2 linked regions of the Tribolium castaneum genome follow. The protein of the gene in region 1 purifies or fractionates together with the protein of each later gene. This does not show direct contact. Links are inferred from orthologs where the notes say so. Each region holds a gene or a part of one and is shown on either strand. Other genes may lie near its edges. The genes, in order: small glutamine-rich tetratricopeptide repeat-containing protein alpha and BAG family molecular chaperone regulator 2.

Region 1 (4,604 bases):
TTTTGATTCAGTCCGTATTTAAGCATGTTATTTATAAAAAACGACACTGATTTTCTGTAACGGGGCATATTTTATTTGCACCAAACACAAATCTCCCCAATCTCCCAACTTACAAAATTACAAAACGGGAAAGAATTTCCCGCTTTCCAACGCTCAAGGCACAATTGTGTGAATTTGTATTCAAAATGATTTGATTATTTTTATAAGTTTTAAGCAATACGTTTCAACGATTAAATACCCTGTATATTTTTCATTTAGGTATATGAAAAAAACGTTAACGAAGTCGTAACAATCAATTCACCTTACAAGAATTAGTAGTTATCTCAGATTACATTTTTTCTTGGTGACGTTTTATCCATATTCTTACACAATTATGTGCAGTTTGTTACTCGTTGTCGTCGCGATCGGACGCTTCATAAATAAAATCGAAAAATTTGCAGTTTAAAAATTTCAAATTCGTTGATCGCGGTTAGTGGTGTTAGTGTTAGTGTTGATAGAATGGATTCCCAGGGAGAAAAGGAGGAAACAATCCGGATTAAAGGGTTAGTCTGCAATATTTCCTTTTTCGAAAAATTAAAATTGTAGTATTTGTAATATTTTCAACTAAGTTAAGGCATATTGTTCTAATTTTATTGTTTTTCATTCCAGTAAGTCCGCTTAAGAAGATGATGCGGTGGGACTTCTACAACTTGTAGCCGAAGATGCCATAAAGGTCAGTGAATTATTTTTTTTAATTATTATTATACGGGGTTTAGGGAATGGCTTAGCAATATTTTGTATGTGAATTTTTTTTTATTAATCCATATATTAATTTAAAAAAAATTATTAATCCATATATTAAGCCATTGTGTGGTTTATGCTAGTTTATTAACAATTAATTTTTTCCTTAAGCAAACATTTTTGTATTTTATAACAAAACACAAATTGAAATAAAAGAATTATGAAGTGGACCAAGAAATTAATTTACCTCTGCCGTTTTGTCAATAATTTTAAAGTACACGCTAATTTTTACCATTCTAGTTCAGCGGTTTTTGGGACCTTTGGGAAGTTCAAGTCAAAGTTTTTTAAAACGATTTTTTGAGAGTACTATGCATTTTCGATATTCAAAAAATTTACTTAGTCGATTCGTTTTGCCATTCTCTGTCTACCTTCAAATTTTTGCTAAACCATTCCTTAACAGGAGAGCAGTGCACATGATAGCGGCTTTAAATTACAAAGCTGATTGTAGAGCAGTCTTTATTTTGCCATCTTTATATGTTTTAAACTCTCTTCTCTATACTAAGAAAAATATTAATAAATATATCAGGCACAAAGAATTTCAAGACCATGATACAAGGAGGAACAAAAATATTATACCTTTGCATAACAGGATCTTTAGAGTAAAGAGTTGTACCCGGTACGATGCAATAAATTTTTTCAATGTTTTCCCGGTCGATTTTAGGGAAAAATTAAAAATTTGTTTAAAAGCTAATTGTTTGTAGAACTGAGATGAGTTTTTTAAATGTAGTTTTAATATCTTATGAGTATGTATTTATGTATTTTTTGTGACTTGCGTAAAACATATACCACCAATAAAGAATTATTATTATTATTATTTCTAGTAATTTATTATTGCTTATTGCCAATAAGTGAAAAAAACAATACTTACGCTTGAAAAAGAGCCTCAAAGTTGGTATCCCCCGATTGGCTCATTGCCATAATGCCAGACATTCTGCGAATGAATAATTATTTCAAAGTTTTTCGTATTTGGGGCACTTACATATTTTGGAAGTCGGGATTGGCCATCATTTCCCGCGCCATGGTCAAAAATTGCTCGTTGTTAATGAACTGCGTGATGTCAAGTGGGCGGTGTTGTGGAGGTGCTGCATTTTCTGGAACTTAGATTTCAATTTTATATCGTAATTTTTAACTCTTACCCATCGACTCGAACAGGCGTTCGCGGGCTAGAGTAAGGTTGGTTTGGTAACTGGCGTTGTGGGGGTCATATTTGAGGGAGGACTCGTAAGCACGCACAGCATCGGCCCATTGGTTTAAGTTCGAATAGGCAATGCCCAGTCTACCGTAGGCTTTGCCGTAAGTCGGGTCGAGAACCAGGGCCTGTTTGCAGTCTTTGATAGCCTCTTCATTGTTCTCTAAGCGGCTGTAGGCCGCGGCCCTGTTGCAAAAGTACACCGGGTTGGTGGGGTTTGCCTCGATAGCCCTGCAAACAACTTCAGAAATTTGCCAAAATTTGCCGTAACTCACATTGAGTAGTAACGCACAGCCTCCTCATATTCGCCGTTTTTCATCGCTGTGTTGCCCAAATTTTTCTGGCGCTCCGCCTCGAGGGCCTGCTCTTGTTGGACCCCCTAAGCAAACATGTAAACAACAAGCCGGAATATTTTAATGGTCTCACCGCATCGTTCAGTCGGATTTGAGCGAGGAGATCAACTTTTTTTAAATTTTGGCGATCGTCGCTTGAAATTTCGTAAGCGGTTTCTAGACACTGAATTGCCACCTCAATTGATTCCTTTCGTTCCTCGGAGAGGTCGGAAGCGCCGACCTCACCTGATAAGAAGTCCAGGACGTTGAAGATTAGAGTCTTTTTGCGTAGATTTGAATTTTCCATTTTGGAAAAGGAATGGAGTGAAAATGGTTATAGGCGACGTGTTGCAAAATAGGGAGCACTGCGAAGCCACTTTTATGAGATTTTCTGGTTATGCGGAAGGTACTTACAAAAAGGCAAGGAAATACGAAAAGCAGGTTTTCAACGGAACGCTGCAAAAATAAAGAGAAATTCAAGGCAAAGGCAGGCGCCGATTTCTACATTAAATTGGGGGAAATTGTTGGAATTAATTTTTAGAAATTTTGTTGAGGTTAAGAACTTCTCGTCTTGTAATTGACGGCAAGATGGGACTCTGATATACCGACCAAAGACACGTAGAAAACTTGAAATCAGAAAAAAATATTTTCGAAAAAACAAATATTTAGCAACAAATGACAATTTTCGAAATTAATTTTCTCTTGGAATTGGCTCAAAATTTGTGGTTGGGATTCAGTTTAACACAAAATTATTTTCTTATACAGAAACTCTCAATTTGTGCACCATTTCACTCCAAAAAAGCATTGCCGTTATTGCCAAATTGAAATGGGGATAATGGGATATATGGGCGACGAATTTTTGTTTTTAATTTTTTATCCACCGCGCCCAGCCTAAGCAACCAACTATACGTTGTTAAAATTTTGAATTTGTTTTACCATTTAGCTATTGTGAACCAATTAAGCTAAATAAAGTGGTTTAAATGCATCTTCTTAGTTTTAGTAAATATTTTGACTTACTTTTCCAATGCATGCGTTAGTATAACTTGCTCAACTTTATGCCCTTTTTTGTTGACCATTATCTCTAGTGTTTTCTTTCCCAGTTTATTTTCACAACGTCTTGAGTTTAACTAAACAAATGTTGAAAATGTTGCCCGAACAGGAAAACTTCATTTATCAACATTTTGTTGAATTAGTGAGGGACCACGATTTAGTAAATGTAATGAAAAGTCTCTCCACAAAAGACCCATTAGTCAACAATTTAATTGCCAGTATAAACACTGTAGGTTCGTATTAATTTAGTAACTAGTTGATTTCTAGAAACATTGTAGGATGATGATTACCGACATAATAACAGAATGATTTTATTCGGTTTATTGAAGTCGGAATCTGAGACAATTTTTTATGACTTTGTTGAATCCCTGAAACAATGTGGGTATTCAGAGTTTGAAAACAAAATTGATAAGCCGATAAAGGAAACAATACAAGACGGCAGGTTCCTTTAGAAATTTGGAGCTAGTGCCATTATGACTATAATTTTAGGCTCAGACCAAAAATCAACAGTAAGGATTATTTTGAATCTTCTGATGGTATTGTTGATGAAAATTTTTCCAACAATGTTCTAAAATGTTATTTTACGGCAAGTCTTTTTGACAAAACTTAACCAGTGTGTCTTTTAATTTCTAACAAGGCTTGGGGTATTTTTTTCATGTTGAGAAGCAATTAACATACTAATAACTACATGTTTTATTAATCTTTTTCAACTATTTTTTTTGCCTTGTTTTAATTACGAAATTTGGGAATAATAAACGGCTTATGATTAATTTGTTTTTTATATTTCTGAACGTACAGGTCTAGTTTTAAAACCACATATTTTGTCAAGTGATTTCAGTTGTTTCTAAGTGTTTTTTTAACTTTGATCATATTAACTGACTTAAAAAACAATAATCTCATGTATGATTCGGAACTAAACACAATTTTGCATTTATTTATTCGTAATTCTCTCAACCCAACAAAAAAATTTAATTTTCTGCAACCTTGTCTGTAAATAAATTTCTTTTTTTTTGGTAAAAATTCTTGCTTTCGCTCAGTTTATTACTCTCACTATTTTGTTAGTTTCGTCCTTACCTTAAAACTCTTTTTTTCTTTTTCTTAAAATGTAAACGAGTGACTTAAATTATTATTGCTCGTTTTAAAATTAATCACACTGTGTGTTGAGTGATGTACTGTATTTTAACACTGTAGCCCCGAAATTTGTGAACCAGTGTCTGGAATGAGGGTAAATAAAATAAAAAGAAAGTTACAAA
Region 2 (3,247 bases), on another chromosome or scaffold:
CCCTGGACCAAACAATTAGAATTTGCGAACCAATCGGACCTTGAGAGAAATTTTAAAATTGAGAAAACGTCGTGATTAATGCATTTTGAAGGAGCCTTTGGTGGCAAGACTAGTTGCATCATACGATGTGGACCAATTTTTGTCCGATTCCGGGTGTGGCGCTGCAGATGTAGCAAAATACAACTGCTTTGTGCATATTGTTGGTGGGAAAGACGGCACAGTTTTGACCCCGTCTAATTACTTTTTCCCTTCAAAATTTAAGGAAGCTAAACTTAAAAACTCCAATGTTGAGGTAATTTTTCCGGGGGATTAACCGATAAGAGCTTTAGCTTTGTTTTAGATTATTTCAGTTGATATGATTGACGCGAAAGGCTTGCGCTTCCACGTGTGGGTGAAAGCCGACGCCCCTAGTCTTTTCGTTTGGTTGGACCCGCACGATATTAAAGGCCACTTTCTTGAAAACGGTTTTATTCAACACTCTCTTGTTACAACAGTCACTTTTATAGCAGATTCACCAACAACAAGCGAAGATTTGAAACAAGCGCTTACAGTGACTCATCTAAGAGACCCTAAGTATTTTATTTCACGGAAATAAGTAATACATGAATTAATAATTTTATTTAATTCATCAATTATAAATAAAGTGTCTTTTAAACAATCACAGTGGCTATTTTAAGTTAACACGACTGTGTTGTATTAAAGCCGTAATGAAGACAACTCAATTGGTTAAATACTAACGATTTAATGTGTATATAATGGCAATAAGCGGGCCACAATCAATAACAACGCACTATTAAGTAAGTTTATGGAATCGAAGTTACATTAAGTTTATCAAAGTAATTTAACAAACCTTGAAGCCGTTTCTTTACCCGTTTTTGGTCGTCAACGGTACATCCTAACAAAGCCGATTCGAACTTTTTATCCGTGATCCCGTGCACCACATTCGAAGAACAAGCATTCATGAAGGTTATACATCTAGCTTTTGCACTTTCAGGATCCGATTTCACACACATTACAAGACTGTCTATCAAATGATTCACTTGGTGCAAGGCTTCTTCTTGCATCTTATCACGCTGAGTTAAAATCTTCACTTCCACCGTGAGGCAGCGGCTCATGATGCGCTCAGCGTACTGGCAAACATCATCCCTATCATCTTACAAATAATTAATTACGAACGACTTTTACTTTTGGTATACTTACTATCCGGTAAGTCGACTATTAAATCAGTGTTTCTAACCGAGTCCAGGGATGACAACAAGTGGTCCCGGTCCTCCTCCAACTGCGCCGCTTCCCTCCGCAACTTCTCAACATGACTTTCTAAGATATCTAACAGTTCTAAAACCCGCTCTTTGGGCGATTTGGGATCCACGGTGTTGTTTTCATCGATCCTTGGCAATCCTGAGTACGTCAGATCCATTAAGAAGCCTGAAACTCGGGCTGTTAGTCAAACACAAAAATTTTGACATAACCTAAAAACATATTGATAAGAAGGATTTATTACCGGATGAAGTACTCGGAGATGGATCTATGTCCATTCTGTTGCAGCTATCGTTGCTGGTTGACGCCAGTTTATCTAATAATTTTAAATCAATTTGATTCAGCACAGGAACAACTCATTGGTCATTTGATTCAAAATCTAGAAAGTTCCATTACTCCTTAGTCCCACTAGTTCGAAACCGCCTCGAAAAACGCAATCAATACAATAAAAAACGCCCCAAAACACCATAAATCTGCTTAATTGTACTTTCATTACCATTATTCAATGTTTATCGCTATTAATTCGCGGCTTTTAACGCATTTTTTTAAACCGAATGGCCATTTGTTCAAAGAGACAAATGGTCCAGCGAAATGATGCAAAAAACCTTAAATTAACATTTATTTTAAAATATAGAATATACATATTTACAAGTTGATTGCACTGAGAAATGGCACGAGAAGTGCTTGTTCCAAATAAATTGAGCAAATAATAAAAACGACAGGTACTTATTTAAACTAAAATCTAACACTTGATCTTAAATAGGCGTTTGTGAATAACTTAATACAAAAGATTATACAAAGTGGTGCTCTTTCCTGTGCTCACCCTTGCATGGGCACTGAATATCACTCAATACTGCGTTAGCAGGTCTTGCGTTTCCTGGACGAGGACGCTAAACGCGGGCCGCTCGTGGGGGTCCGCGTGCCAACACGGATATATAATCCGTATATAGACAGCTTGTGGGCACATTGGAGGACACGGAAATCTATAAAAGGCAACGATAAAACCAACGAAGTCAGCAACGGACCAATACCTGGCCCCGCTCTCCAAGGCGTTCAAGAGAACTTGCTGCTCTTGACCTCTGACTTCCTCCTCTCCCAGATTCGACAATTTCGGCTCTTCGCCCCAGTTGAACATTTCGCACATTGTGACACCGTACGACCAAACGTCGGAACGCACGGAAAACTTGCCGTCTCGTAAACTTTCAGGCGCGTACCTAACAAGACCAAAGTAATTCAAGTCGTGATTTTTCGCTAATTACCATTTAATCGGCAATTCCCGGTTTGTTTTCAAGATGTAATAGTCATTAGTGCCAATGACTTGCGCTAAGCCAAAGTCGGAGATTTTGACGTGGTTTTCGTCAGCTACCAAAATATTCCGGGTGGCTAAGTCCCGATGGACGATGTTTTTCTTGCCCAAATAATTCATTCCCTAGTCAATAAAAAATGTTATTTGATAAGTTGGTTAAATAATAAGGCCACAAACCTCAGCAATGTCAAGCGCGAATTTCAACAACTGTTTAATTTGCAACGACTCTCGATTGATTTTCAAATAACTCTGCAAAGAGCCATGATGGACGAACTCCATGACTAGGGAAATATCCGGTTCCCGGGAAACCCCCAAAATTTCAACAATATTCCGGTGCTGCAAAGTCTTCATAATGTTAATTTCCCGTTCGAAGTCTTGCAAACACGCAGACACAGTTGACGATTTCAGTTTTTTGATTGCCACGATTCTCGGTTCAATTTCAGGATTTCCGGGATATTCCAAAGTTCCTTTATACACTTCCCCGTAAAACCCTTGCCCAATCCTCCCTTGCAAAACTACACTACAGTCTTGGTCCAACTCAAGTATACTTTGTAACGAATTGATGCTATCAAGCGACGTGGTCACTGTCGAAAAATTGAAATTCGACAGTATGTTGGAGAAATCGCAAGAATATGTATCCTCATTGTTCAGAACCTCCTGCGAATTTAGAAAACAATTTTGCGA

Evidence for each region.
Region 2: the proteins of small glutamine-rich tetratricopeptide repeat-containing protein alpha (region 1) and BAG family molecular chaperone regulator 2 purify together in Homo sapiens (affinity purification with mass spectrometry; 3 studies listed by BioGRID and IntAct, with this or other methods). This does not show direct contact. The link is inferred for Tribolium castaneum from reciprocal best matches to the Homo sapiens genes SGTA and BAG2.

The regions. Positions count from the first base shown.
Region 1 is NC_087403.1:5,039,059-5,043,662, forward strand, and holds the start of small glutamine-rich tetratricopeptide repeat-containing protein alpha, read right to left. Parts: upstream 2,924-4,604; 5' UTR 2,716-2,923; intron 2,667-2,715; 5' UTR 2,609-2,666; coding exon 2,396-2,608; intron 2,349-2,395; coding exon 2,245-2,348; intron 2,201-2,244; coding exon 1,917-2,200; intron 1,878-1,916; coding exon 1,760-1,877; intron 1,712-1,759; coding exon 1,649-1,711; intron 1-1,648. UniProt on the Homo sapiens protein: Co-chaperone that binds misfolded and hydrophobic patches-containing client proteins in the cytosol. Mediates their targeting to the endoplasmic reticulum but also regulates their sorting to the proteasome when targeting fails.
Region 2 is NC_087396.1:11,144,875-11,148,121, forward strand, and holds BAG family molecular chaperone regulator 2, read right to left. Parts: upstream 1,718-3,247; 5' UTR 1,536-1,717; coding exon 1,502-1,535; intron 1,426-1,501; coding exon 1,201-1,425; intron 1,154-1,200; coding exon 804-1,153; 3' UTR 600-803; downstream 1-599. Other genes in the region: beta-mannosidase, read left to right, coding at 92-292, 341-595; hop (tyrosine-protein kinase hopscotch), read right to left, coding at 2,105-2,240, 2,289-2,471, 2,517-2,686, 2,741-3,247. UniProt on the Homo sapiens protein: Co-chaperone for HSP70 and HSC70 chaperone proteins. Acts as a nucleotide-exchange factor (NEF) promoting the release of ADP from the HSP70 and HSC70 proteins thereby triggering client/substrate protein release.